Linked DNA regions of Sus scrofa. The protein of the gene in region 2 interacts with the protein of the main gene of each other region in a pairwise test. Links are inferred from orthologs where the notes say so. Each region holds a gene or a part of one and is shown on either strand. Other genes may lie near its edges.

Region 1 (4,010 bases), on a different chromosome or scaffold from region 2:
GAAATAGCAAAAAGACAAAAAAAAAAAAAAAAAAAAAAAAAAAAGAATGCCAGATATCAGAGTTCCTGTTGTGGCTCAGCAGTAATGAACCCAGCTAATGTCCCTGAGGATGCAGGTTCCATCCCTGGACCCACTCATTGAGTCAAAGGATCCGGTGTTGCTGTAAGCTGTGGTGTAGGTCACAGACAAGGCTCGGATCCCACGTTGCTGTGACTGTGGTGTGGTATAGGCTGGCAGCTGCAGCTCCAATTTGACTCTAGCCTGGGAATTTCCATATGCCGAAGGTGCAGCCCTAAAAAGACCCCCCTCCAAAAAAAAGAATGCCAACTATCTCATTGACCCATCAGTTCATATGCCAGGACATCATCAGAAAGAGAAGGAATCAGGGAGTCAGAATGATGAAGGAAATGTGAGGCTTGGCCATCCTGTCTCCAAGAGTTTGCAGCTCCCATGAGGAAGGAGACTTACTTACAGATGATAAAAACTCCCAATGTGACAACTCTTGCCTTCTGTGCAATGTTAATGAAACCATCTCTGTGATCATTGGACCCTCACTCCCTCAGAGACCCTCAGGTGGAAGTCCCAGCCTGACTTTTTAAAATAGCTCTTAGAATTCCTTTCACCCTGAGGACAAGACTTTAGAGAAATAGGGAAAAGATCTCTGGGGGCAGCTGGAGGGAACAAAGCAATACTGCGTGTCGTCACTGCCTTACCAGATAGCAGCCACTGCTCATGGGCAGGAAGGCCATCTAGGAGATCCCTAGTGGCTCAGTGGTTTAAAGACCCGGCATTATCACTTCTATGGCTCTGGTTGCTGCTGTGACATGGGTTCAATTCCTGGTCCGGGAATTAATTTATGCATGCCGTGAGCACGGCCAAAAAAAAAAAAAAAAAAAAAAGGCAATCTAGTTTGGCTGAGCTCTGGAAATCCAAATTATCCTTTCTTGACCAGTTTCCAAGCTTTCTTACTGTTGGAGCCTAGATCGATGCTTGAGGGTATAAAAACAAGACAGGGACCACAAGAAGACAATGGCTAAGAAGTCAAAGGCTAGTTCCTAAAACAGGTTCAAGGAGGGGAGAATCGGGGAGGTATTGAGACCTTGGGGGAAAGGGGATGGATAAGGCTGTTTGTAAGTCATCTAAAATCAGCCACGCAAGTGTCCAGCATGGACACTGTCCCCTCCTGAGTTTAGCCAATGCTGAACTGCACACCGTGGATGAAAAACCAAGCAACAGCAGTGTGGGGGGATGGGAGGAGTTAGGGTCCAGCCCTGCCCAGACCTCCTCGTGTCCAATTTCTCTGTGTCAGCTGTGTCGCTCAGCTGTCCACTTTCCTCCAGCCCTGTCATTTCAGCTCTGACACCAAGGCGAGAGGCTAGGAGGTCTACAAATACCGTCTGGGTAGCTGGTGTGAGTACAGAGGGTACTGGGGGGGCTTAGCCCCCAAGGAAGAGGACCAGTCCTCCCCCAGCACCACCATCAAGACCCCAGGGGCTCCCTCTTTTCTCCACAGACTGTGGACTGACTTAGGGAATCCCAAACGTAAGTTGCCTCTTCATCCTCTTTGCGTTTCCAGGACTTCTCACCCCAGCTTCCCCAATCCGTAGTCTATTCAGCTTCTTCATTTCTCTCATTGTCTGTGAGTAGTTTGGGTTTTAGGAGTGAAATTATTAAGCTACTCCAGGACAAGAGTTAGGATTGAAGGGTAGGGTGGGGGTGGGGTCAGGGGAGTAGAGTAGTAAGGGAAGGAAAGTCTCATATTACTCTGAAAACTTAAAATAGCTGAAGCCTGAGGCAGGCTGGGAACTAGGGAACTAGGCACCGGGCCCCTGAGCTCAAGAAAGGTAGGAGAGAACAAATGTCCCCAGCCCATCCCTCTATGCGCACTTGTGGACATGCACATTAAACCTCTTGAAAGGGGATCTGGGAAGGTGTGTGTCACATTTCTAAAGCCCACAGATTCCCTTGGAGTTGCCATCATGGCTCAGTGGTTAACGAATCCGACTAGGAACCATGAGGTTGCGGGTTTGATCCCTGGCCTTGCTCAGTGGGGTAAGGAGCCGGCATTGCTGCGGCTGTGGTGTAGGCCGGCAGCTGCAGCTCTAATTAGACCGCTAGCCTGGGAACCTCCCTATGCCACGAGTGCAGCCCTAGAAAAAGACAAAAATAAATAAATAAAAACCAAAGCCCACAGATTCCCAAGAGAAACAAAGTGCTTGTAGGAAAATGCCTAAACCACACAGCCTTGTGCACTGTCTCAGGGCAGTAAACTCTGGGGTTGCCCATCAGGATAGAAGGATGGTCATTGGTTTAAGGAGTTGGTAGGGAAGTTCTTTTGTCTGTTGGGCTTTTCTCTGGGCCTTTCTGGAATCTTTCTGCTCCTTGCCCCTGTCTGTGAAAGAATCTCTGTTTAACCAAATTTCTCCCAAAGCCTCCCCTTCAAGGACCACCCTACTGCAAGGGACAGGAACAAGGGGGGAAGAATGTCATTCAGAGATTAGATTTCATAGTGAGGTCAACCTCTTGCAGGATGACAGAAAAGGAGGTGCTGGAGTCCCATAAGCCCTCCTTCCCAGGAGAGACTCGGCAAAGTGGGGTGAGTCTGGGCCTTGACCATGGGGTATGGGGAGCTGGGAAGCCACTGCAGTCTTGAAGAAAATTGCTTGAATTGATCTCACTTGTATACGATTCATGTATTGTTCAAATGCTAGCTAGCACCTACAGGCCCCAGGACCCCCTAATCCTGGGGTGTGCCCCTTGCCCCAAGCTTGAAGAATGTCTAGTTAGCTTCAGCCTGACCTACTCTAAAAAGCAAGACAGTTCCTTTAACACTGGGTTTCCTTCCTTCCCTCCTTCCTTCCTTCCCTCCCTCAGCTACAGCGGCTGAAGCAGTTATTTAGGAAGGAGTCTACAGGGACAAAGGAGATGGAGCTTCCCCCAGAGCCCCAGGCCAATGGGGAGGCAGTGGGAGCTGGGGGTGGGCCCATCTACTACATCTATGAGGAAGAGGAAGAAGAGGAGGAAGAGGAAGAAGAACCACTCCCAGAACCTCCCAAGCTTGTCAATGATAAGCCCCACAAATTCAAAGATCACTTCTTCAAGAAGCCCAAGTTCTGTGACGTCTGCGCCCGGATGATTGTGCGTGAGTCACAGAGGGAAGTGGAGAGTGTGATGCCAAAGGCAGGGGGCAGGGGAAAGGATTTAGGAGAGGAGTATTTGTACATCAGATAGGCTGTGGCAAGATTTAGCTTTAAGAAACTACTGCAGAGATGGAGAGTGTCAGGTCCTATACTGAAAAGGGACCTGAGAACTAGAGTAGCAGCAGTGTTAGGAAGGGAAAGGGCAATCAGGAACCTCACGCAAATGTTCTCCCCATCTCCCAAGTCAACAACAAATTTGGGCTTCGCTGTAAGAACTGCAAAACTAACATCCACGAACACTGTCAGTCCTACGTGGAGATGCAGAGATGCTTCGGCAAGATCGTGAGTAGGCTCTGGGGAGCAAGAAAGTAGAAGGGAGGGGACATGTTGCCCGCTACCTCCTTGCCGGTCCCTCCTCAAGGCATCCCATCCATTTCCCTGCTTTTTCTTCCTCAGCCTATCTTTTACTCCAAGAAAGGGTGGACGTTCATGGGAGAGGTGGGGTTTGGGGCTCTACCTTGTTATCTCTAATGCTTTCTCCCATCCCATCCTACAGCCCCCTGGTTTCCGTCGGGCCTATAGCTCCCCACTCTACAGCAACCAGCAGTACGCTTGTGTCAAAGATCTCTGTAAGTGCCCCATACAGGACCTGAGGGAATGGGCAAGCCTAGAGGTGGTTTCCAGATGTGGAAACAAAATTCTGAAACAGAAAGATTCTATATCCTGTGGTTCTCGCTCAACCTAGTATCTTGGCCATCTTGGATGCAGAGTCAGTATTCCTCTGTTTTATAGCTGAGGGAAATAAGGTTTAGCTGGGGCTCTACTCAGGAAGAGACAGAACCAAAACTGAAACTTTCACCCGCCTAACCT
Region 2 (4,183 bases):
TTTCACTTCTACTCTTCTCATTCTGCATATAATTGTGTTTAAGTCTGATTCAAAGTTAGGTTCCTGAAAGATGTTCTGAATGGGAAGTTCAAAATTTCCTCTTTTCCTCCAAAGACTTTTAAAAAAAGAATGTCAATAGTACTTTCTCGTATATAACCTGTAGTTTAAAAGTGTTCTTATGAAAGTGATATATGCTCTTTATAAATAAAATTAAATCTTTTTTTTTTCACTGCTCCTGTAGCATGTGGAAGTTCCTGGGCAAGGGACTGAACACATGCCACAGCCATGACCCAAGCACAGCAGTGACAATGCTGGATCCTTAACCTCCTAGGCCACCAGGGAACTTACAAAGTTAAATCTTTTTGATAAATATAAAATGCAAAGTAAATGCTCCTATTCTGCCTTCCCCTCACCCCCAAAAATACTGGACTGCCCTTGCCTCTAAAGGGTCTCCCTCTCTGACTACTTGGGGACTCCTGACAGTCTGTAAACCATGACATGTTTTATTACACACCATGTTTGCTTCCCAGTAAGACCAAAACCTCCTAAAGCTGAGTTGTCTTTTACTTCGGTGAAGCTCATGTACTACATAAAGACACACTGCAAAAATGGAACATTTGTTTAATTCTGTGATACTTCCAAAACGTATGCTAAAAGTACTAGAAGTCTTACTTTCACTTCATATTTACAGTGGATATTGGTTGGTTTTGTCACTCTAGCAATCATTACCTCCTCTGACCAAACTACCACCACCACTGAGCTCTTCTTTGGCTTATAAAGATCCGTTCAATTATGCTAGGAAAAAAAATGATATCCAAATCAATCATAGCTTCATAATCCCATAGACCTGGTTCAGGGAAGGGCATAGAACCCAACCTAGACAGTGAGATGCTATCAACTTGAAGCTGAGAGGACATAAAGGACCCTAAATACAACAGCCTCTTAGGACCAAAGGAGTGAATCTATCCAAGTATGGAACCAACACACAAAAGAACAAACCTGAGAGTGAGAGATTAGACCCTGGTGACATTATTAGGCACACACCTATTAAGTACTGTCACTCCATTCTTAATCTCAGAACCATTTGACTTCAAAGTGCCCTTCCTCCAGCCAGCATACTACTTACTCTGATTCCCTAAGTCTTTATCCTTACGCTCAAGGGACTCTTTTCATGGGGCATGAGAGGAAGAGTCTGAAGAAAGGGAGACGTGGATGATCAGAGTTCTTAAAATAAAAAAATATAAATATAAAAAGAAATATAAACATACATTCGAGCAGACTGTGGGCAATAAATGAGAAAATGGTGAGGGCAAAAATGGCTGAGAGTGAAAAAGCGGCAGACAGTTAAGTGTGCAGGTTAGAAGAAGAAAAAAAGACTACAAGAAAGGGGCATCTGGGGAGTTCTCTTGTGGCACAGCGGGTTTAGGAAGCATTGTCACTGCAGTGGCCCAGATGGCTACTGTGGGCTCAGGTTCCATCCCTGGTCCTCGAACTTCCACATGCCTCAGACATGGCCAAAAAAAAAAAAACACGTTGGGGGGCATCCGGCATGAACTCCCTCATTATCTCCTCACTGCAAACCTCTTGTTGCGCGCCCTTTCACTAGCTCATTAGCTACAACTGGCCATCTTTCGGTTCTTAAAAACGAAGTTCTTTCCTGTCTCAAGGTATCTACTCCAGTCTAGATGCTCTTTCCTTTAGTCCTCTCAGGACTGGCTCCTTTCTCACACTTCAGATCTCTTCCAATGCCACAGAAACATTTCTTCAGAAAAGTCTTTCCTGGCCAACCAACCAAACGTGGATCTTTCTCTTTCCATCACCTCTTATTTCCTCTTCAAAGCTCTTATCAACTGTATTTACGTAAAATGTTTAGTTTATCGACTCCACCAACAGAATGTAAGCTTTCTGAAAGCAGAGGTTTTGCCTTGAACACTTCTTTTTCCTCATACCCCAAACTTGACATAGAATGATAGGCAATGCTTATTAAATTCTGCTGAAGAGAATGAACGGCAGAAAGTGAGAAGATAGTTCGGGAAAAAGTCGGCGTCGTAGTCAGCTGTTTCTAGGGAAGGTAACAGGAAGGGAGCAGGTAAAGCCAGATGGGCTGGAGGCCCTCACAGGAAGCGGAAGGTTTACGTCGGCGAGAAAAGGGGGTGTTGGATGAGGGCTGCAAGCTTCTCCCTGTCACGCGTGGGGTGGGCGGCTAACTTGTCAAAGGGGCATCAATCGCTTAGTGACCAACTCCGGGGCGTCCCGTAACCGGGAGCCAAACGCTAAACTCTCTTCAGACACCCCTAGGTCCCGCCTAGCGGTCCTACTCAGCCGTCGTCCACGAAATCGCTAGTCCACCGGACATCAAACTTAACGCCCGGGCCCCAGCCCCTTGCGGGGAGGCAACGTATGAGAAAAACGGCACCTTCGGCCGAGTCACAAAGAGGATCTGACACTGGCCCAGCATCCCGGCGCCCGCTCACCAGCTGGCTGACGCGCTTCTCCCCGCCCCCAGCCCGCCCCGCGGCCCGACTCCGGCCCTCACTTACGCTTGTCTCCGGGCTATGAGCCGATGCATGGGAGTCGCCATCTTAGCGCAGCTGACGCCCGCCGCGCAGGATTTTGGGAAGTTCCTCCAAGGGGGCGGGGCCTTCGAACCCTGGAGGCTGTCGGCGTGGGCGGAGCTAGTCCCGCCTGGCGAGTCGCGGGGGCAGCTTCTGGGGCAAGTAGGGGGTTGGGCCTGTGTCGGGCCCTTGTTTGAGGAAGAGGAGTGAGGTCGGTTGTCTCTTCTGAACAAGGCTTTTGAAGGGTGGGGTCATGTAATTGCTAGGAGAGACAGGGAAGAACATTCTCCAATGAGGTGTTGATCTGTTCCTTCCCTTTTCTTTTTTCACCTGTGGAATATGGAAGTTCCGAGGCTAGGAGGTCAAATCCTGGCTGCAGCTGCCGGCCTACGACACCGCAACTGGGAACCCAAGCCACGTCTGGAACCTATACCGCACCTCACATGGCAGCGTAGGATCCTTAACCCACTGATGGAGGCTAGGGCTCGAACCCGTGTCCTCTTGGATACTAGTCAGTTTCAGTTATTGCTTAGCCAGGGGGAACTCCTGGTCATCTTTATACACAAATGAATTTTTATATATAAATGAATGAAACTGCAGTGTTGAAGAAACTAGAAGTTGTCTGGAGAGCAAAGTGAAAAACAATGAGTTAAACAAGAGTAAGACCATCAGATGAGGAGTTCCCGTCAGTGGCTCAGCGGGTTATGAAACCAACTAGTATCCATGAGGATGCTGGGTTCAATCCCTGACCTTGTTCAGTGGGTTAAGGATCCTGTGTTGCCTCTGCTGCGGTGTAGATCAAAGATGTGGTTCAGATCCAGTGTGGCTGTGGCGTGGGCTGGCAGCTGCAGTTTGCATTCAACCCCCAGCTGGGGAACTTATATATGCCGCAGGTGCGGCTTTAACAAAACAAAACAAAACAAAAAAACCGTCCATTGAAAAATGCTGACCTTATCAAACCATCAAGTGCAATATATGTTAATTACTTACATTTTTATGTATATCATAGTGATGTTATAAGGGTATAGGTAAATTTGATTTGTCAACTGGAAAGAGTAACAAATATTAATTATTTAAGGATATTTTAGCATTTAATGACAGATCATGGAGGTTTAGTCTCCTAAATCCATTTTGTACAAATTTTTTTTTCTTTTGTCTTTTTGCCTATTTCTTGGGCCGCTCCCTTGGCATATGGAGGTTCCCAGGCTAAGGGTCCAATCGGAGCTGTAGCCGCTGGCCTATGCCAGAGCCACAGCAACGTGGGATCCAAGCTTCATCTGCAACCTACACCACAGCTCACAGCAACGCCGGATCCTTAACTCACTGAACGAGATCAGGGATCGAATCCGCAACCTCATGGTTCCTAGTCGGATTCATTAACCGCTGAGCCACGACGGGAACTCCGATTTTGTACCAATTTAATTCATTTAGACATTCTGTTTTCTTCCAAAGATCTGCTTGTGCCAGTATTTGTATGGCTTTGATTTCCATAGTTTATTTTTAGACTATTTTGATGTCTGGTAGGTCAAGTCTCTCCTAAATAATTCTAGTTCTCCTCAATTCTCTTTATTGCTCTTAAACATTCATTTTTCTAGATGAAGTTTGTTCTCAAATTTTCAAGTTTTCCA
Region 3 (3,500 bases), on a different chromosome or scaffold from region 2:
GGAATAAAAATAAGAAGGTGGGTGAGAAAGGCAAAGATTCTACTTGTTAATGACTTCTAAAATGGACTCTTTTACAAGGCACCGCATTGCTAGTCTGCTCCAGTCCATTATCTTTTGCATTGTAAATAAGGCCCTCATGTCCTGGCCCCTGCATCCTCTTCCACCTCAATTCCCATTCAATTAACTCACCCGCTTAACCCTACGCTTTCATCATACTGATCATGTCTCAGGAACAACCAGTTGTTCCTTCTGCCTGAAATATCCTTCCACTGTCTGAACAGACTTCTCATTCCGCGAGATTCGCCTCATGCATCACACGTGCTCCCTAACTCCAGACCCTCTCCTTTGTGTACACTTATCTACTGCATCACAAGTATTTTTTTTACCTTTTCTCAGGATTTTATTTTGACTCGGGTTTTGATACTCAGTGATGACGGATTTTAACTATGACTTATCCATTCGTATATTCCTACATATCTGATACACACAAGGTGCTACATCAAGGTGGAATGTGCAGAGAAAGTCCAGTAAGGTCTTTCTTTTTGAGTATTTCACAGCCTAGTTGCAGCTGGTGAGAAAGTCTAAAGGGGTCAATGAAATTCACTGAATCAGAAAAAGAGAGAGTTCCACCATAAGAAACAACACAGGGATACCAGGAGGCCCTAGAATGTAAAGGACTCCTAAGCTAGGGCGGGAGGGGGTAAAGGGTAAGCAAATGCACCTGAGAAGTTTGTAAAAAGCCTTGTGAAGGTGGAAAAACGGTTTCGATGCAACCACTGCTGAGCCTCCTGAGGTGTAGTTGTTGGCAAGAGGTTCTGAAAAAGGGAAAGCATTTTTTGGGTTAACTAAATAGACACCTCTTGAAAGGTCAATGTTACATTGTTAGGTAACAACAGCCAAACACACCCACACTCAGGCTGAGTTTCCTCAGAAGTTGTTTGGCAGTCTTCTTTCTCCAACCACACAAGATGTCCATGAAATTCCATCCTCATTTTCCCCACTAGACTGAAAGCACCTTAAATACAGCACAGTATCCCGTTCAATAAATTTCTTTTAGTGAATGAATGACTAATACTACCTAACAAATCGGGCATTTCTAATGAATCACACAGTCAACAAAGTATCATTAGACAGTGCAAATAACAGACATTTAACTTGAGACTTACATCTGTGACGGGAGGGGGCGGCTCTGGCTGGTGGTTCGGTGAACCATTTCTAAAGGAACATTTAAAAGGAAAGGATGAGTCCATGACACACTACGGTTGCCTCATTCTTCCTCCTCATCATGAGTCTTCAGCTAGATGTTTAAAGGAATCTGTCTACGTTCCAATTCTCACCCTGGGATCCAATACCTCTATTTTTTTTTTTTTTTCTGCTTTTTAGGGTAGCACCCATGGCATATGGAGGTTCCCAGGCTAGGGGTCCAATCGGAGCTACAACTGCTGGCCTACATCCTACATCACAGCCACGGCAACGCAGGATCTGAGCCTCATCTGCAATCTATACCACAGCTCCGGTGCGCCACAATGGGAACTCCTAAGATTTTTTCTTTATTACTGAAGAAACTGAAAAAATTAACAAAATTCCAGTAAGTTGGGGTTGATTAGACGAATTGTGGCATAAAAATATGTAACATAAGTTCATGAGAATATAAATGAAAAACATCAGAATGTAAAAGCAATCAATAGATGACTACAGTATGAAATATATAAATATACAAATACAGGAAAAATAGTAGAATAAAATGTATACAATGAAATGCGATCATATATAGTTTTATAATAAAATAGTTCCAAAAATGAGCACTAACTTTTGATCCAAGGGCTATCAACACACCCTGATTTTTCCCTATACTTCCTTTTGCTCTATAGATTGTTGCTCTTCCCTAATGTTTACTTTTTTTATGGGCGAAGAATTTGATCCCAGTAATGAACTAAATCACACAAAAAGAAGAGACAATTTTCAAACTTCTTTTTTTGGTCATGCCCACGGCATTAGGAAGTTCTGGGGCCAGGGATCCCAACACAACAGGGATCCTAAGCCACAACAGCAAGCTGAGCCACAGGAGTGATACCACCAGATCCCTAACCTGCTGAGCCACCAGAGAACTCCAATTTTACGATTCTCTCCCTCCCTCTTTTTTTTTTTTTTTTTTCTTTTTAAGGCTGCGCCTATGGCATATGGAAGTTCTCAGGCTAGGGGTTGAATTGAAGTTTCAGCTGCCAGCCTAGACCCCAGCCACAGCAATGCAGGATCCAAGCCAAGTCTGTAACCGACAACGCAGCTTGTGGCAATGCCAGATATTTAACCCACTGAGCAAGGACAGGGATCAAACCCACATCCTCATGGACACTATGTCAGGTTCTTAACCCACTGAGCACAACAAGGACTTCCAATTCTACCCTAGTTATCTATTGCTTCTATAATTTCTACCTTTTTTTTTTTTTTTTAGGGCCGCACAGAATATGGAGGTTCCCAGGCTAAGGGGTGAATGGGAGCTGTAGCTGCTGGCCTACACTACAGCCACAGCAACACTGGATCTGAGCCATGTCTGAGACCTACACCACAGCCCACGGCAATGCATATCCTTAGCCCACGGAGTGAGGCCAGAGATCGAACCTGTGTCCTCATGGCTCCTAGTCAGATTCGTTAACCACTGAGCCACGACGGGAACTCTACCTATTTTTATTCTTAACTAAATACTTAACTAAATACTTTCAGAAGTAGGATGAACATAGAGTCTGTATAGAATACGTGTTAAATGATGGGACTATAAGACAACTTTATTTTTTTGACTACGCCCACAGACTGTAGAAATTCCTGGGCCAGGGATCGAACACATGCCATGGCTGTAACCAGAGCCACAGCAGTGACAATGCCAGATCCTTACCCACTGAGACACAAGGGAATTCTAAGACAACTTTTGTAAACTGAAGCAAGGCATATCTGTACCAGCTTTCCATTATCTCCGATGGCAAAAGGCAATAATAAGGCAAGACTAAATGCATCCCATAGATAATTTGAAAAAAAATCACCTTAGCTCTCATTCTCATCCTCTTCCTTCAATTATCGAAGATTCATAACAATTAGGAATCATTCTTAGTAAGTAACCAAACAGATTTGGTTTTCATTTTTATTATTTTTCATTTTTATTTTTTGGCTACATTGGAGATGTGTAGAAGTTCCCGGGCCAGGGATCAAACCCACGCCACAGCAGCGACCTAAGCCACTGCAGTGACAAGCTGCTGTGCCACAAGAGAACTCCCAAACAGATTTTAGTGTTTATACAACTATTTCAACTCCCAGTGACACTCTCTGGTGAAAGTATGATCAGGAAGTAAAATAACCCTAAGATAAGCTATAAGAGGGAGAAGTGAAAACCCAGAAAATCGGTCCCTGGATCCCTAAATGCTAACCATAAATGCTATCTTCTAACAGGGAGAACGAAAGCTACAAAAAACACTCTTTTTAGTCTCCGCTGAAGATAATCCAAACCTCAG
Region 4 (4,106 bases), on a different chromosome or scaffold from region 2:
ATTTTAACTTTAAACAGTCACCAAATTTTAGAACTGAAAGCATGCAGAATGATGACCTATTCATCCTCCAATTGTGCAATAAGAAAAATCAAATCTATAAAGGGGAAGAAACATACTCCATACCTGAGATAAGGCAGCTAGTCAATGACAACAGTAGTTACAGAACTGTTTCCTGATCTTGGGCCACTCCCGTTTCCACCAGGCCGTTAGTTCTCTGACATTATAAACAAATCTCAACTCTGAAATCTACCTGTGGCCTAGAAAGATTCAACATACCCCTCAAAAAACCAGGCCAAAAGGCCCCAAAACGTACACAAGAAGACACTCATTTTCTGCTCTTCTCAAGACAGTAGACCAATGAACAACTACATTTTCAGGCATTTTACTTGCAAGGCAATAAAGTGTGACATCTTAAAAATGTGGTTCCAGAGGAGAAAGTACAAGCAGGGATTGATAAAATTCATCTTATTTCCCTTCAAATCTCTTTGATGTTTCTTGGCTCTCAAGACTATATTACTTCTAAGTAGGACTCAGGAAACCTCGCTCGCTGCGGTCCACCCGCATGGCTTTGAGTAACCCGCTGGGAAAAACCCCCACTAAATTAAAAAACCTGTCCCTGATAAGGGTGTGCTACACCACTCCCAACGCATAAGAAGACGGTGCAGGTGACCTGTGCTTTACGGCTCAGTTTCAGACCCCAGGGAGCAGCTGACATCTTGTGAAAAACTTAACATTGCATCCTTTCCGCGGGAATTTATCTCTGTTCTCACAAGGCGTTTCTACTTCCCACAAAGCAGGCCTGGCTTTTCAGAACACTCTGCTCGCCTCTCTACAGCTTCCTTCAAGGTCCAAAACCAGACTTTAAGGACAGAAATCGAAACGGTCACGGACCTCCGGAGCGGCAGGTCCAGCTGGGGCCGGGGGCGGGTTCCTGGCGAGCCCACGGCCAGCTCGCGCCGCGCAGGGGAGGCCCGGCGCACTCCACCACGCTGGCCGAAGCAACCGGTTGCGGCGGCCGCTAGACGCTTCACCTCTGCGCCGTGGCCGCCTTGGCCCTGTGAAGTTCGGACCGCTGCGCGGGCGGCGCGCCCCCGAGTCCTGCTGCGGGTTCGCGTCCCGGCCCCGGAGCGAGCCCGGGGGGCGGGTCCGCGGGGGCTCGGCGGGCGGGAGCGTGGGACGCGCGGGGAGGGGCGCGCGGCGGGCCCAGCGCGCCAGGGAACTTGGGCGCCCCCGGTGCGGCCGACTGGCCACTTTCCTTTCACGCCCGGGGGCTGCCGTGCGCCCTGCTGCCGGCTTGAGACGGCCGGCCGCGTCTCGCTACCGCGGCGAGGCGCCCAGGCGCGCTCCTGCCTCCCGGCCGGCCAGCGCGCGGGGCCTCGGGGGCGCGCCAGGCCGCGCGCGGGCGTCGCGCTCCCCCCGCCCCGCCCCCGCCCCCAACGTGCCGCCGCCGCCCGTTGGCGCCTCAGCCCGCGCGCCCGCCGGCCGCCGGCTCCCGGCGGATTTTCGTTGGCAAAGTTGCGCGGCCGCCTAGAAGGGGCCAGCAGGCAGTCCCCAGTCCCCGCGCCGCCGCCGCCCCTTCAGGCCGCCGCGCGGGAAGGCCCAGCCGGCAGCCCCGCTTTTTTACCTGCCGGGAGTTTTCGCGCGCTCGCTCTCTCAATAGCTCGCTTTTCCCCTCTCGCGCTCGTTTTCTTTCTTTCTTTCCTTCTTTTCGTTCGCCCGCGCGGACGCTTTTTCCGTTCGCGCCGCCTGCGCTCGCCCGCTCGCGCCCTCCTTCCTGCTGGGCTCCGCGGAGCGGGGCGGCAGGCAGCTCTCCCCGCCCCCCTCCACCCGCGCTCCGGCGGAGGCGGCGGCCGCGGCGCTCCGCACTCCGACTCATTCCAATATGGCACGGGCGCAGGGCGCATGCGCCCGCGCCCCCCCCACCATCCGCGCTCCTCCCGGCAGCCGGCGCCCCTCGCGCCGCGCGTGTGGCGCCCCCCGGCCCGGCCTCTCCAAGCCCTCCCGCGCGTCTGCCCGCCCCGCGGGACCTGTGCCGGAGGCGAGGCGACTGCAGACTTAAGTCCTGGGGGTCCAGAGCCACCCGCCGCCGCCGCCCGGCATGCTCCAGCCCACAACTTGCCCTGGACACCCCCTGGGCCGTGGCACAGGGCACGCGGTGGCGCCTCCCGCCCCCGACGGCGCTACAGCCCGGCGCGTTGGGGCCCCGACGGAGAAACGCGCCTCCCAGGACCCAGCGCCCACGCTGCCCCTGCTCGGACCCACGAGGGAAGGGCCCCCTCACCTCACCTCGGGTTGGATGGAACCCCGGGAACCAGGTGGCGTCCCGATGTCGGTTTTGGCGTTCGGGCCGGGGCGAAGCGCGATGCTGTCGTCCGCACGTGACAGCCTCTGGCAAGATGGCATTAGCGCAGGAACGCACCGAGCGGCGGCCTGAGCCCAGTTAGGCGCGTGTCGCCGCGGGAGAAGGCTGCGTCCGCCCGCCTGGCCCACGTCCGGGATCTGGCGCACCCTTGAGACCTGGGAGGGCACCTAACTGCCCCCTGACTGCGAAGTCAGACCGGAGCCCCGCGGCGCACCCGGTATTTCTAGGCTTCCGCAGGAGGCGCCCTGTAAATCCGAGTTTTCCTGCCGCTCGGGGCCCTGGCGAGGTGGCAAGAGACGGCTGTCTAAATCGGGCGGGAGAGCAGGGCCCCGGGGTCGAGACAGTAGCTCCTTAGTGACTATGAACCGGCCCCGCAACCCGAGGTGCCCACTTGCGGTTTACTTCTCCGAGCTCGTTCGCCCCTTACCCACCGAACACAGGTGCTGGTGGGACACTCGCCCGTCCCCACCTGCTCTGGAAGAGAGAAGGAAGTGCCCGAGCCTCGGAGACCTGGGAGTGCTCGGACTCCCGGTCCTGAGAGGAGGGCTCCGATGGGCGCTGATCACTGCTGCCTTTCAAGGTGGAGGAGTCATCCCCACCGCAAGGAATTCAGGGGTGCCAAATGCGGTTCAAGTCTGCGCTGGGAAATAATACCCCACTTTACAGAGTTGCTCACAGGCACGCTGCTGGCTGGATATTTTAACTGCCCCTGAAAAGACAATATGACAGCCAGGGAGGAAGAAAAATGCAAAAAGAGTAAAGTAGTATCCATAATACATGAAACTTTTCACACATTAAACCTTCCACCCACCTACACGTCTTTACATAGTAGCAACCACACATTGTCTTTTGTGTTTGCTACCATCACTAACATTTTTCTTTTGTTCACATGATGCATTTTTAATGTGTGCAGATATCTTCATCCATTCAGTCAGTCTCCTACCATTGCCTATTTTGGTTCCTTACAATTGTTTACTAACACATCCCTTAGTTCTGCCTTTGGGATAGATTCCTGGCAGTTAAATACCCAGATGAAAGGCTAAGCAAGGAAGGGCGAGGTGGGCTTGCCCCACAGTGCCAGAGGACTTACCAAAGAGCTGCTGCCCTACTCATTCTCCACCTCCCAGGAACAAGTGTAAAGAGTTTAATACACATTTCTAAGCCTTGGGTACCATCTTTTTTCTCCCCTATTTTAGCAGTGTCTGTTGGTAGTTCAAGGTTACTTCAGTATTTCTCAGTAAATGTTTATCCCTGCATTTACTATCTGTATTTCCCTTCTATAAATGATCTGTTCATGTCTATTCATCTTTTGGGGACTTGAACCTCTTCTAACTTCGAATAAGCATTTTTTTATGTTATATTGTTCCTATGTTGTCAGTGATCCAAAGTGACAGTCCATTGTTCTTTTTTTGTTTTATTCAATCTGTCATGCTAGTCTCTTGTGATTTTTTTAATTGCTCCAATGCTGATGAAGCGAGCTTTCTTCCACCCATCTGATAGTGTATTTTTCCACTGATTTTCTACAATTTTATTTATTTACTTAGTCTTTTTTGACCACTCCTGGCATTTGGAGTTCCAGGGCCAAGGATCAGATCCAAGCCCCAGTTGCAACCTAAGCCACAGCTGCAGCAACACTGGATCCTTAACCCACTGTGCCAGCCCTGGGATTGAACCTGTGTCCTAGGGCTCCCAAGATGCCACCAATCCCATTGCACTACAGCAGAAACTCTTGCACAATTTAATT
Region 5 (3,500 bases), on a different chromosome or scaffold from region 2:
ATTAAGATATTCCTAGATTTTTTATCACATAATTTGTCTTTTAATCTTTGCTTTCCTGTTCTGTTAAATCTTTGTTTTCTGTTTCTGAGTTTTATAAAATAAAACCATTAAAAATAATAGAGGGGCCAATAGTAACATAGTTAAAAAGAAATACTTTAATCCTGTGTAAGAGAAGGGGATACTTTAATCCTAAGTAAGAGAAGGGAATACTTTAATCCTTAGTAAGAGAGCATTGAGACGTATGTTATAAAGAGCTCAGTACAAAATTAATTTTCCTACAGTGAGCTTTTAGAAATAGTTAAAACATATTTTTGGAAAGAAAATAAATAGAAATATTTAGAACTTATGAACACATTAAGTATCATTATTAATGAGCACATTAAGAGTTTTCATTTTAGTTTAAGATAAATGGAGATGGACTTGTGATCACTTTTTTAGACCAGAGATCTGAAGGGTCACATCTGTATGCTATACAGCAATCCTATGATAGGATTTTATATCTCCTTTGGAAAGCACATCCTCAAAGGCAGTAGGAAAATCAGCACTGCTCTTTCCTTGTTCTCTTCCAGAAAGGAGCTTACAGATTTCTTACGGAAATTGAAGAATACTCATGGGAAGTCCTTATCTGGACTGACATTTGATGAAATTGTTTGCAAGATTTCCCAATTTATTTACCCCAAGAGATCTCAGGTAAAACAAACAAACCAACCCTATATCTTTTAGCCCTTATCTTTAGTAGTAAACTCCGTCAGTTATCTCCATGACATGATCAGGAAATCAATCTATAATCATATTCAATCATCTATTAATAATAAACAGTTCAACTTAATAAATGGCATGGGACACACCACCTGATCGTTCTAGAATAAAACTTGAAATTTACTCTAGGTTATTTTGAATGATTCTAAAAGGGTACATTTTTTCTAATTTTATGCAAAGACTTGTTTTAATTAAAAGAGAACCTGGAGTTGTTTTTACTTGGCTCTTAGTATTTGGGTTATATTGCCAACATTTACTTCACAATTTCTTAAGAACCTGAGTGACCTTTGCTCTTTTGCTAATTCTCACTATACCCTGGTTCTATGGTATTCTGTTAGCTCTTTTTGTTTTAGTACAATTCTTAAAAAAAACAAACAAACAAAAAAAAAAAACCGTATTCTTCTTTTCAGAGTCAAGGAAAATCAGTGCCAAATGGAAACAGTGTTTCACCCAGCCACCATACTCCACCCCAGGCTAATGCTGTCCAGCCCTCAAAACCAGCCCGGAAGCCCCTCAGTTCACAAGGTCCTGTCAAATTAGAAGGAGCCAATAATTTGGTGAGACTGAGACTGTTGATTCTAAATACATTTAAATTTAAGAGAGAGAAATGAGCTGAATTTATTACCCTGTATTTTCTCTAGGATGATGATAAGGAAGAAGAAGAGGAGCCTTGTGTGATTTGTCATGAGAATCTCTCTCCAGACAACCTCTCGGTTTTGCCTTGTGCACACAAATTCCACTCTCAGGTAAACTTATCTTTTTTAATATTTTACCATTAATCATCTAAGTGAAATTCATACTGCAGTCCTTGAAGTGATATTCATGTATCATCCACTGCTGTATCATGAATTCTACTGGATAAAAGCTGGGCTTTTGGGTACCACACAGAAGTGTTTGTATGTTTCCACATACTTGGCCATGGATTGCACTGTGCTTTCTCAGATCTCAGTACACCTAGCAGGAGAAAGGGACAACAATGAGATTTATTGGGACAGAGTATAGCTGTTCTTTTGAGCAGAACTGGAAGGAATGGTGAGTGACATGGCCGTTGGCAGTTTAGCAACAGTGCCACTTCACCCTGAGTTGCTATAAATAGTGTCCTTTGTCCATGCCTAATGATGGCCAATGGCCACTGTAAGACTTAACTTTAACAGTCTACCCAGGCTCCTGTATGTGCTTTTGAGGATGCAGAAGCTTGAGTTTTGATGTTAGAAAAATGTGAGGCTGGCATATCTTTTGTTAATTCTTGACATTTATATAGATTAACTCCTGGTGTTGCTGCTGTGCAAATGATACTGATATACAACTTATGAGCCAGATCTTCTGTTGCAGAGATGTAATTTGACACAGGAAAAATTAATCTTACAAAAGAAAGGTTTCTCAAGGAAGTGAACAATAGCCAGCTTATTCAAGCGTTATCTATAAAACATAATTTCAGACATGTGATACCTGGTATGGAATTATATTTTGCATTTACCCTGATAAGAAGAGATGTACACAGAATGTCTAATCCCAAAAGATCTCCAGGATAGATACTTAGCCATCTGATTTTTCCATCTGAAATTTTAAAAGTTCTAAAGACCCATTTAGAAAATAAATGTTTCACAAAACTTATTTTATTCTTTGCCATTGCTCATTGAATAGAAAGCAGGTAATTCAGGTTACTCTTTAGGGTTAGAGTTAGAGCCTCATATATACTGCCCATTCCTAATTCTCTCCCATCTGACCTGGCACTCCATTATTCATTCAAGTAAAAATGATTTGTTTTAGGAGAGTCAGTATTCAGGCAAATGACTTAATAGATAAGTTCATAACCAAAGAGTTCTACTGAAGAAATAGCAATCTGAAAAGAAATAGCAATCTTAAAAGTGCATCCATTATCTAGGGATTTTAACTTCAAAATACCATAATCACTTGATAACAAGGTATTAGCGACATTTGTATGTTTAGGTATGACTTTTTCTAGATTATAAATGAGAATAATATATAATAAACCAGAGAAAAGGTATAATAGGTTTCCTCAACCTCCTTATTAGGAAAAACTGCTAGTCTTCCTGAAAGTTGGGGATGGGGAAAGACTCTTGATAGAATAAACTGGCTGAAAGGTATTTTGCTGTTACCAACCATATTGCTCAGCAAACCACAGAGTGCCATGATTGCAGCAGTTACTGTAATAATCCACCAAGCAAAGCTCCAAGATACACCAGAAACATTTTGGCTGGCAGCCCTGATATATAGAGTCACAGCTGCCTCTGCTAGGCTACACCTGAGGGACTCACATGCATCTTTTTGCTTCTTAGTGCATTAGACCTTGGCTGATGCAACAGGGGACATGCCCAACCTGCAGACTTCATGTTTTGCTACCAGAAGAATTTCCTGGTCACCCCAGGCGGCACTTGCCCAAGATATGATACAAAGGGGTGACTATCCAAAGGAAGTTCAATTTTCAGACTCTGAAATTTAGTTTTGCTTTTTATTTGAGTGTTCAATTTTCAGACTCTGAAATTTAGTTTTGCTTTTTATTCAAGCGGATAGTGTAAATGGTGTGAAGCAGTATGCTCTTCCATATTGTGCAAAATAAGCTAGCTAATCTCATCAAAGCTGCAGCCAAAGAGGAGAGGACAGGTCTTCAGGATTATGGACCAAACTGAAAGAGTTCAAAGAAGATGGAGTTTTAAAAGTTACATTACATTTGCTTTTACCTTATTAGGTATTTTCTTTCAACATAAACATGATTATTG
Region 6 (3,500 bases), on a different chromosome or scaffold from region 2:
GCAGGATCTGGTCTCCAAAGCGCAACCCCACCAGCGACGCGGGGGTGTTGGCCTGGACCAGCTGCACAAAGACCCCCTGGGGGAAGCAGGCCCCACAGTCAGATCCCCTGCGACCCTGAGCCGGGGACCTTTCTCCAAGCTGCTGTTTGCCTCCTGATCCTCCTGAGCCCACAGGGCACTGGGACTGCAGTGCTACACAGCAGATACAGGCTACCCCATTTTTCCTGGCAAAGAAACACTCCAGGCCACACAGCTCAGCTCAGAAGCAGCCGAGTCAGGAATTCAACCCCGACTGGACCCGCACCCCCGACCACTGGACTACCAGGCCTCTCACAAAGGCATCCGCCGCCCCTGGCTTCCGCGGTCTGCAGAGAGCCACCCAGAAGCCAGATCCCTGTGCGTGGGGAGCAAGGAGAAAGGGCCATGACAGATAGGAGCCGTGGAGGTGCAGGTGGAGGGCCCCTAAAGCAACCCGGGGCCGGCCCATGTGGCACCTTGGGATCTCGAGAGGAAGAGCCTAGCCTCAGGGTTAGTTGGGTGAGCCTCGGCTCCCAGCCTGCCCGGCTCCTTCCTTACTGTGGACGGGGCTTCCCGTGCTGTCCCGGCTGCAGCTCCTGGGCGATGCTGCGGGAACCCCAGAGGCGCGGGGAGGAGCCAGGGCAGTTCGGGCTGCAGGCACGCGGGCTCGCCCTCCTCCCTCCGCGAGGCCCCTCCTCTCCCACCCAACCCCAAACCCACCTTGTCGATGGCTCGTAGCCGCAGCCCCGTCTTGCCACGGTCGTCCTTGCACAAGTGGATCTCGCGCACCCCGGGCTTGATCTCCGCACGCAGCACCCCCAGGCTGTTCCCGGACACGGGCGCCACCAGCTGGCCCGGCGAGGAACCCGAGACCGCTGCCTGCAGAGAGAGTAGCAGTCAGCCAGCCCCTGGGGCCTCATGCCTCCGGGGTGTCCGGGGTGAGGGCATGAATGGGGAAAGGAAAACCGAGTGGAGCACAGGCCCCAGCCCACCCCCAGACCACACGGTTCTCTGCAAAGGACGAGATGGGACCTGGCTGCGTGAAGCCACTAGGGGGCGTTAAAGTCCACACCCCTAATAACAGCCGGGAAAGAAGAGGAAAGGAGCCCTGTTTTCCCAGACAAATTGGTACCAGGAAAAGAACCCTTTAAAATCCACTGAAAAAGTAAAGAAAAATTTCATAGCAAATAGTGAACAGTGGAAGCAAATGGGCTCAATTTGATTTTTGCCCTGAGAAAAATTAAGCTAAAATATCAAAATGAATGGTTTCCCCCCTAAGATCTGGAACCAGGTAGGATGTCCACTCTCACCATTATTATTAAATACAGTAATGGAGAACTAGCCAGAGCAATAAGGCAAGAAAAGGAAATAAAATGCATATAGATTGGAAAAGAAGACATGAAATGGTCCCCGTATTCTACCAGAAAATTTCAAGGACTCTACAAATAAACTCCTTGAACTCATAAGTGAGTTGAGCAATGTCAGATGATACAAGACCAACACAGAAAAAAATAAATTTTGGAGTTCCTGTTGTGGCTGAGTTGTTAACAAAACCTGACTAGTATCCATGAGGACAGGGGTTCAATCCCTGGCCTCACTCAGTGGGTTAAGGATCTGGTGTTGCAGTGAGCTGTGGTGTAGGTCAAAGACACACCTCAGATCTGGCAGTGCTATGGCTGTGGCATATTCCAGTAGCAGTAGCTCCAATTCAACCCCTAGCCTGGGAACCTCCATATGCTGTGACTGCAGCTCTAAAAAGACCCCCCCCAAAAAAATCAATTTTACTTCTCTATACTGACAATTAACATGCAGAAACTGAAATTAAAAATATAGTACTTAGGTGTTCCCTGGTGGCCTAGTGGGTTAAGGACCTGGTGTTGTCACTGCCGGGGCTCCAGTTCGATCCCCAGCCTGGGAATTTCTGCATGCTGTGTGTGCAAGCCCCTTCCACCCCAAAACAATCCTACAATACTGTTTTCACTCAAAAAAATAAATAAATACTTGGGTGTAAATCTAACAAAACATATGCAGGAGTTGTATGCTGGAAATGACAAAACACTGATAAAAGATATCAAAGAAGATCTAAATAAGTGGAGAGACAGTCTGTCTTCAGGAATTGGGAGAATGTAGTAAAGCTGTCAATTGTCCCCAAAATGATATACAGATTTAATGCAATTTCTATCAACAATCTCTAAGAGATGTTTTGTAGATATAAGCAAAGATACTCTAAACTTCATATGAAAAGACAAAGGAACTAGAATAGCTGAAACTATTTTGACAAAAAGAATAAAACAGAAATCACTCTACCAAATTTCAGGACTTATTACATGGCTACGGTAATCCAGACAGTGCAATGCTGGAAAGGGACAGACACACGGATCAAGGAAGAGAAGAGAGAAACTGAAATTAGTCATACACAATAGGAGCTTTTTCACAGAGGAGCAAGAGCAATGCAATGGAGGAAGAATAGTCTTTGCAACAAATGGTGTGGGAGCAATTGAACATTCATAGGCAAAATATGAACACTGATCTCACATTTTATACAAAAATTAACTCAAATTCAATCAGAAATTTAAATGTAAAACATAAAACTCTTAACAGTTTTGGAAGAAAGTAAAAGGAAACATCTTGGAGTTCCCGCTGTGGCACAATAGGATTGGTAGCATCTCTGGAGCTCTGGGATGCAGGTTTGATCCCAGTCTGATGCAGTGGGTTAAGAATCCAGCGTTGCCACAGCTGTGGCTCAGGTTGCAACTGAGGCTGGAAGCCGATCCCTGGCCTGGGAACTCCATAAGCTGAGGGGCGGCCAAAAAAGAAAAAAAAAGGTGGGGGGGAAACATCTTCAGGACCTAGGGTTTGGAGAAATTTCTTAGGACACCAAAGCATGAGCAACAAAAGAAAAAATGAAAACTTCTTCCTCTGTAAGAAACTCTTCATGTGACGAAAGAAGCTACCCACTGGGAGAAAATATTTACAAATCACATATCTGACAAAGGACTCTAGAATAAAGTCTTAAAAATTGACTTAAAAAAACATTTAGAAAATGAGCAAAAGATATGAAGAAGCATTTTACCAAAAAGAATATACAGCTGGTAAATTAAGCACATGAAAAGATACTCATCAACAGCCATGAGCGAAATGCAAATCAAGACTATGATAAGGCATCACTATGCACCTATCACAACGACTAAAATTTAAAATAGTGATAACACCAAATACTGGCAAGGATGTGAAGAAATTGAAACAGTCATGCATTGCTGGCAGGAAAATAAAATGGCACAGCCACTCTGGAAAGAGGTTTTTTTTGGTCTTTTTGTCTTTTCTAGGGCCGCATCCATGACATATGGAGGTTCCCAGACTAGGGGTCGAATCAGAGTTGTAAGCTGCTGGCCTACACCACAGCCACAGCAGCGTCAGATCCAAGCTGCATCTTCGACCTACATCACAGCTCCCGGCAACGCCGGACCCTTAACCCACTGAGC
Region 7 (4,219 bases), on a different chromosome or scaffold from region 2:
GGCTACAGCTCCGATTCAACCCCTAGCCTGGGAACCTCCAAATGCCGCGGAAGCGGCCCAAGAAGTAGCAACAACAACAAAAAAGACAAAAAGACAAAAAAAAAAAAAAAAAAAAAAAAAATTTGCTAAGCAGAAAAATGTAAATTAAGGCCTCCTTAAGATCAAGGTTGCCCTAAAAATTAAAAAAAAAAAAAAAGAAGAAGAAGGGGGAAAAAAGGGAGTTCCTGTTGTGACTCAGCAGTAACAAACCCAACTAGAATCCATGAGGATTCGGGCTCAATCCCTGGCCTCACTCAGTGGGTTAGGGATCCAGCGTTGCTGTGAGCTGCGCTGTAGGCTGCAGACACCACTTGCACCTAGCATGGCTGTGGCTGTGGTGCCTGATTCAACCCCTAGCCTGGGAACTTCCATATGCCTCAGGTGTGGCCCTAAAAATTTTTTTTAAATATCTCAAGGTTGGTTCAATTCTTCCAGAGTTGGTTCTGAGAGCTACTTTTACTACTTGGTCCTGAGAGCTACTTGCTAATTTACACTCCTCTGGCATGAAGATACTTAGCCTGAGACTGAGCACGAAATTGAGGGTTTTATTGGAGCCTGAGTCACTGACTGCTCTTGTCCTCAGTTTCCCTGCTGGACAAGAAGACCTACGTAATTAATACAACAAGCTGAGAACAGTGAAGGAGAGAAAGAAATTCCAGGAACTAGGACCAGATTATTATCTATCATTACATAAGACTTTGCTTGGCCAAAGGTCTTGACATTTGACCACCTCAGTGGGTGTGTCCCACTTGCCAGAACAAGCATGGGGGTGGGGAGGCCAAAGCTCTGGGAAAAGAAAGGCAAAAAAGAAAAGCACCTGATTCTGATAGCCATTCTAAGGCTCAACATAGCCCCTGGCAGACAGAAGGCCCAATTAGCCTAATAATTATTTTCAAGATTATTAAATTCTTCGCAGTGGGAATCCTTTACAAAAAGGAAGCACCATCTGCCAGAGTAACACAATGCCCTGTCCCAAGTCCTCAGACTGTGAATCCCCATTCCTTGTCCCTGCCACCTACCTCTCTTCCCACCTCCAGCCACCCTAGTCCTTCTGAGGGGGCACCTCTTCCTAGCCAGGCTCCAGAGGGCACTGACCTTGCCATGCTTGTGGTGTTTGTGCTTCTTTTTATGAGCTTTCTTCATTTTCTTCTTCATCTTCTTGTCCATCACCATGCCTGGTCCTACCATGCCAGGAGCCAATGGATTCACAGGTGGCATGCAAGGGGCAGGTGGTGGGTAGGGACCTGAGGGCTGGCATCCTGGATGCCCTGGCTGTGGCACAGGATAACAAGGCCCGCCAGGGGGAAAAGCTGGATTCCCCTGGGGCACTCCTGGAGGAGTGGGAAGGGGGCCTGGAGGAAAGGGAGGGTTGGCAGATGGTGGATGGGTAGGATGGCAACCTCCAGGGTATCCAACGTTAGGCGGGTAAGGATTTGGCCCTGGCTGCCCTGGTGGAAAAAGCAAAGAATAAATTTAAGATTAGAACTGCCCAGAGCTTCTGACAACAAACAACAAAAAGAAGGGGATTCCATTTTTCACTCAATACTTAAAGGAAAATGGAGGAGTTCCTGTAGTGGCTCAGTGGTTAACGAATCCCACTAGGAACCATGAGGTTGTGGGTTCGATCCCTGGCCTCGCTCAGTGGGTTAAGGAACTGCAGTGAACTGTGGTGTAGGTCGCAGACGCGGCTCGGATCCCGCGTTGCTGTGGCTGTGGCGCAGTTGCAGCTACAGCTCCGATTGGACCGCTAGCCTGGGAACCTCCATATGCCGCAGGTGTGGCCCTAGGGGGGAAAAAATGTAAAGCTGAAGAAAGAGGAGCATGGAGGGGAGGGGAGACAAACCTATACAAGAGAAAGAAAAGGTAACGTTCCCTGGAGACAGTGAACTCTGGGGGAAGACACTGGGCAGCTATGGACTTTGCTTTTTTGTAGGTTAGGGCAGAGGTGGAGGAGAAACGGACACAAACTTCCTGTTGTGGCCCATCCGAAAAGGGACTGGGGCAGGAGAAGAGATTCTCCCCAAACACTTACCGGCATTGGGATTCCACATGTTCAGGGGTTTTCACCAGCCTGAGGAGAAAGAAATGAAGGTTAAAAGCTGACGGCCCAGAAGTGGGTGGGTGATTTAGACACCAAGCCCAACTTCAACGCCTCCTGCCCCACTGTAGGCTCCCAGGGAACTAACAGGTTCGCTACATAAGAAATGTCTCCTTCCACCCGCTCCTTCGCCCCCAATACCTAGTTTCCCTCCACCTTCCACTCGCTCTGGCTGCGGATTCTAACTCCTCGGGAGAGGGGCTGAGTGCGCGAATCTCGCTATCCCCATCACTCCTCTCCCTTTCCTTGACCGAGCCCGGAAGACTTTAACCACCATAGGCTGCGGAGGGATCTGAAACAACTTCACCATCCCCAAGGATGGGTGACGGGAGACAGGACCCCGCACCCCAGGCTAACAGAAGGACCTGCCTGGAGGCGAAAGGAGGTAAGGCAGCTCAGGAAAGATCCTCAAACGCTTATATAGTTAGACACACCCTCTTACCCTTTAAAAAAGGCAAGTGGAGACCCCGGCTCCCCAGCAACGAAGGGGCGTCTCACCCAGGAATGGAGAAAGAAAGGAACAGAATACTGACGTCCCGTCAGCTTTATACCACCGCCTGGGCGGAGGCGTCCTCCGCAGCCTCCACTCTCACTTCCCGATCACCCTCTCACGTTAGGCTTTGGCATCCGCCTCTGCTGCCTCCGAATTGGTAATATAACAACATTGGGCTTTAGGATTGGAGAACATGCTCGTCAATCACTCTAGTCCCCACTAGGCTAAAAGGCAATGGTTGCAGTGGGGGCGGAGCTGGGCGCTCTGGGGTGAGGCCGGTGCAGAGGGCGAGCGGGCCGGAAATGCCTGGGGGCGGGGCTATGGGTGGGCGGGGCCAGCTTCAGAGCAAGTTCGTGAGTACCTAGAGGAAATTCAACCCTTGACCTCTGAGCTCTTAGTCCAGTGGGTGCCACACCTTATAAAGTAAATATACCATGATAAATGTTGTACAGATATATATACACAGCTTAAGGAAGGGCGGGGAGCTGCCGATATTCACCCTAAAACTCAATATTGCCGCCTCTGTCAGCGTCCATAGAAAGTAAAGAAACATTCTTGGGAGAAATACAGAGATTTCTAATCTCTCCTAGGATTCCCTGTATCAACTACATAGCTCCGCCATCTGTCGAATTGCACAAAGCAGAAACGCCGGAGGTGATCCTTGATGGCTCTCTCCTTCACCTTCCCCTCTTCCCGCTCCAGCATCGGGAAGGGTCCGTTTGTTTCACGAATAAATCTGAAATTTCTCTACTTCTCTTCAATCTTCTCTGCTTCCAGCCTACCATCATATCTCAACGGGAATGCTGCAATGGCCTCTTCTTCTTTTTTTTTTTTTTTTTTTTTGGCCTCATTCACCACATATGGAAGTTCCCAAGCCAGGAGTCAACACTTGCCATAGCAGTGACCCAAGCTGCTGCAGTGACAACCTGGGATCCTTAACCTCCTGTGCCACAAGGGAACTCCATTCTTTTTTCTGAAGGAAGTACTAAATAATATGCCACTATTTGGATATTCCACATTTAGTTTATCCATTCATTAACTGATGGACATTTGAATTGTTTTTATGTTTTGCCTATTATGAATATTGCTGCTATGAACATTCGTGTACAAGTTTGTGCATAATCATAGGTGTGACCGTGTTTTCTTTTTTTATTTCAGCATAGAAATTTATTTAAATTCGAAATTACATGGTTAGGAGTTCCTGCACGGTTCACTGGGTTAAGAACTGGACTACTGGAGTTCCCGTCGTGGCTCCGTGGTTAACGAATCTGACTAGAAACCATGAGGTTGTGGGTTCGATCCCCGGCTTTGCTCAGTGGGTTAAGGATCCAGCATTGCCATGAGCTGTGGTGTAGGTCTCAGATACAGCTCGGATCCCACGTTGCTGTGGCTCTGGCATAGGCTGGTGGCTACAGCTCCCATTCAACCCCTAGCCTGGGACCCTCCATATGCCGTGGGAGCGGCCCAGGAAATGGCAAAAAGACAAAAAAAAAAAAAAAAAAAAAAAAAAAGAACTGGACTACTACCCATGAGAATGTGGGTTTCCCTGGCCCCATGCAGTGGGTTAAGGATCTGGTGTTGACATGAGC

Evidence for each region.
Region 1: the proteins of ZCCHC10 (region 2) and STAC3 interact in binary tests that used the Homo sapiens proteins (3 or more experiments, as listed by UniProt). The two-hybrid records come from large-scale screens. The link is inferred for Sus scrofa from reciprocal best matches to the Homo sapiens genes ZCCHC10 and STAC3.
Region 3: the proteins of ZCCHC10 (region 2) and TFCP2 interact in binary tests that used the Homo sapiens proteins (3 or more experiments, as listed by UniProt). The two-hybrid records come from large-scale screens. The link is inferred for Sus scrofa from reciprocal best matches to the Homo sapiens genes ZCCHC10 and TFCP2.
Region 4: the proteins of ZCCHC10 (region 2) and SFMBT1 interact in binary tests that used the Homo sapiens proteins (3 or more experiments, as listed by UniProt). The two-hybrid records come from large-scale screens. The link is inferred for Sus scrofa from reciprocal best matches to the Homo sapiens genes ZCCHC10 and SFMBT1.
Region 5: the proteins of ZCCHC10 (region 2) and DZIP3 interact in binary tests that used the Homo sapiens proteins (3 or more experiments, as listed by UniProt). The link is inferred for Sus scrofa from reciprocal best matches to the Homo sapiens genes ZCCHC10 and DZIP3.
Region 6: the proteins of ZCCHC10 (region 2) and SDCBP2 interact in binary tests that used the Homo sapiens proteins (3 or more experiments, as listed by UniProt). The two-hybrid records come from large-scale screens. The link is inferred for Sus scrofa from reciprocal best matches to the Homo sapiens genes ZCCHC10 and SDCBP2.
Region 7: the proteins of ZCCHC10 (region 2) and PRR13 interact in binary tests that used the Homo sapiens proteins (3 or more experiments, as listed by UniProt). The two-hybrid records come from large-scale screens. The link is inferred for Sus scrofa from reciprocal best matches to the Homo sapiens genes ZCCHC10 and PRR13.

What each region holds. Positions count from the first base shown.
Region 1 is NC_010447.5:22,553,531-22,557,540, reverse strand, and holds the start of STAC3 (SH3 and cysteine-rich domain-containing protein 3), read left to right. Parts: upstream 1-1,210; 5' UTR 1,211-1,542; intron 1,543-2,431; 5' UTR 2,432-2,530; coding exon 2,531-2,596; intron 2,597-2,874; coding exon 2,875-3,142; intron 3,143-3,384; coding exon 3,385-3,482; intron 3,483-3,696; coding exon 3,697-3,769; intron 3,770-4,010. UniProt on the Homo sapiens protein: Required for normal excitation-contraction coupling in skeletal muscle and for normal muscle contraction in response to membrane depolarization. Required for normal Ca(2+) release from the sarcplasmic reticulum, which ultimately leads to muscle contraction.
Region 2 is NC_010444.4:135,304,471-135,308,653, reverse strand, and holds the start of ZCCHC10 (zinc finger CCHC domain-containing protein 10), read right to left. Parts: upstream 2,801-4,183; 5' UTR 2,582-2,800; coding exon 2,541-2,581; intron 1-2,540.
Region 3 is NW_018085018.1:278,577-282,076, reverse strand, and holds part of TFCP2 (alpha-globin transcription factor CP2), read right to left. Parts: intron 1,216-3,500; coding exon 1,167-1,215; intron 816-1,166; coding exon 722-815; intron 1-721.
Region 4 is NC_010455.5:35,178,274-35,182,379, forward strand, and holds the start of SFMBT1 (scm-like with four MBT domains protein 1), read right to left. Parts: upstream 2,801-4,106; 5' UTR 2,287-2,800; intron 1,851-2,286; exon of another isoform or gene 1,625-1,850; intron 1,085-1,624; exon of another isoform or gene 892-1,084; intron 1-891. UniProt on the Homo sapiens protein: Histone-binding protein, which is part of various corepressor complexes. Mediates the recruitment of corepressor complexes to target genes, followed by chromatin compaction and repression of transcription.
Region 5 is NC_010455.5:150,798,041-150,801,540, reverse strand, and holds part of DZIP3 (E3 ubiquitin-protein ligase DZIP3), read left to right. Parts: intron 1-569; coding exon 570-690; intron 691-1,169; coding exon 1,170-1,316; intron 1,317-1,400; coding exon 1,401-1,505; intron 1,506-3,059; coding exon 3,060-3,170; 3' UTR 3,171-3,500. UniProt on the Homo sapiens protein: E3 Ubiquitin ligase proteins mediate ubiquitination and subsequent proteasomal degradation of target proteins.
Region 6 is NC_010459.5:33,980,575-33,984,074, reverse strand, and holds part of SDCBP2 (syntenin-2), read right to left. Parts: intron 898-3,500; coding exon 739-897; intron 77-738; coding exon 1-76.
Region 7 is NC_010447.5:18,659,395-18,663,613, reverse strand, and holds the start of PRR13 (proline-rich protein 13), read right to left. Parts: upstream 2,801-4,219; 5' UTR 2,580-2,800; intron 2,524-2,579; exon of another isoform or gene 2,279-2,523; intron 2,111-2,278; 5' UTR 2,091-2,110; coding exon 2,072-2,090; intron 1,488-2,071; coding exon 1,059-1,487; intron 1-1,058. UniProt on the Homo sapiens protein: Negatively regulates TSP1 expression at the level of transcription. This down-regulation was shown to reduce taxane-induced apoptosis.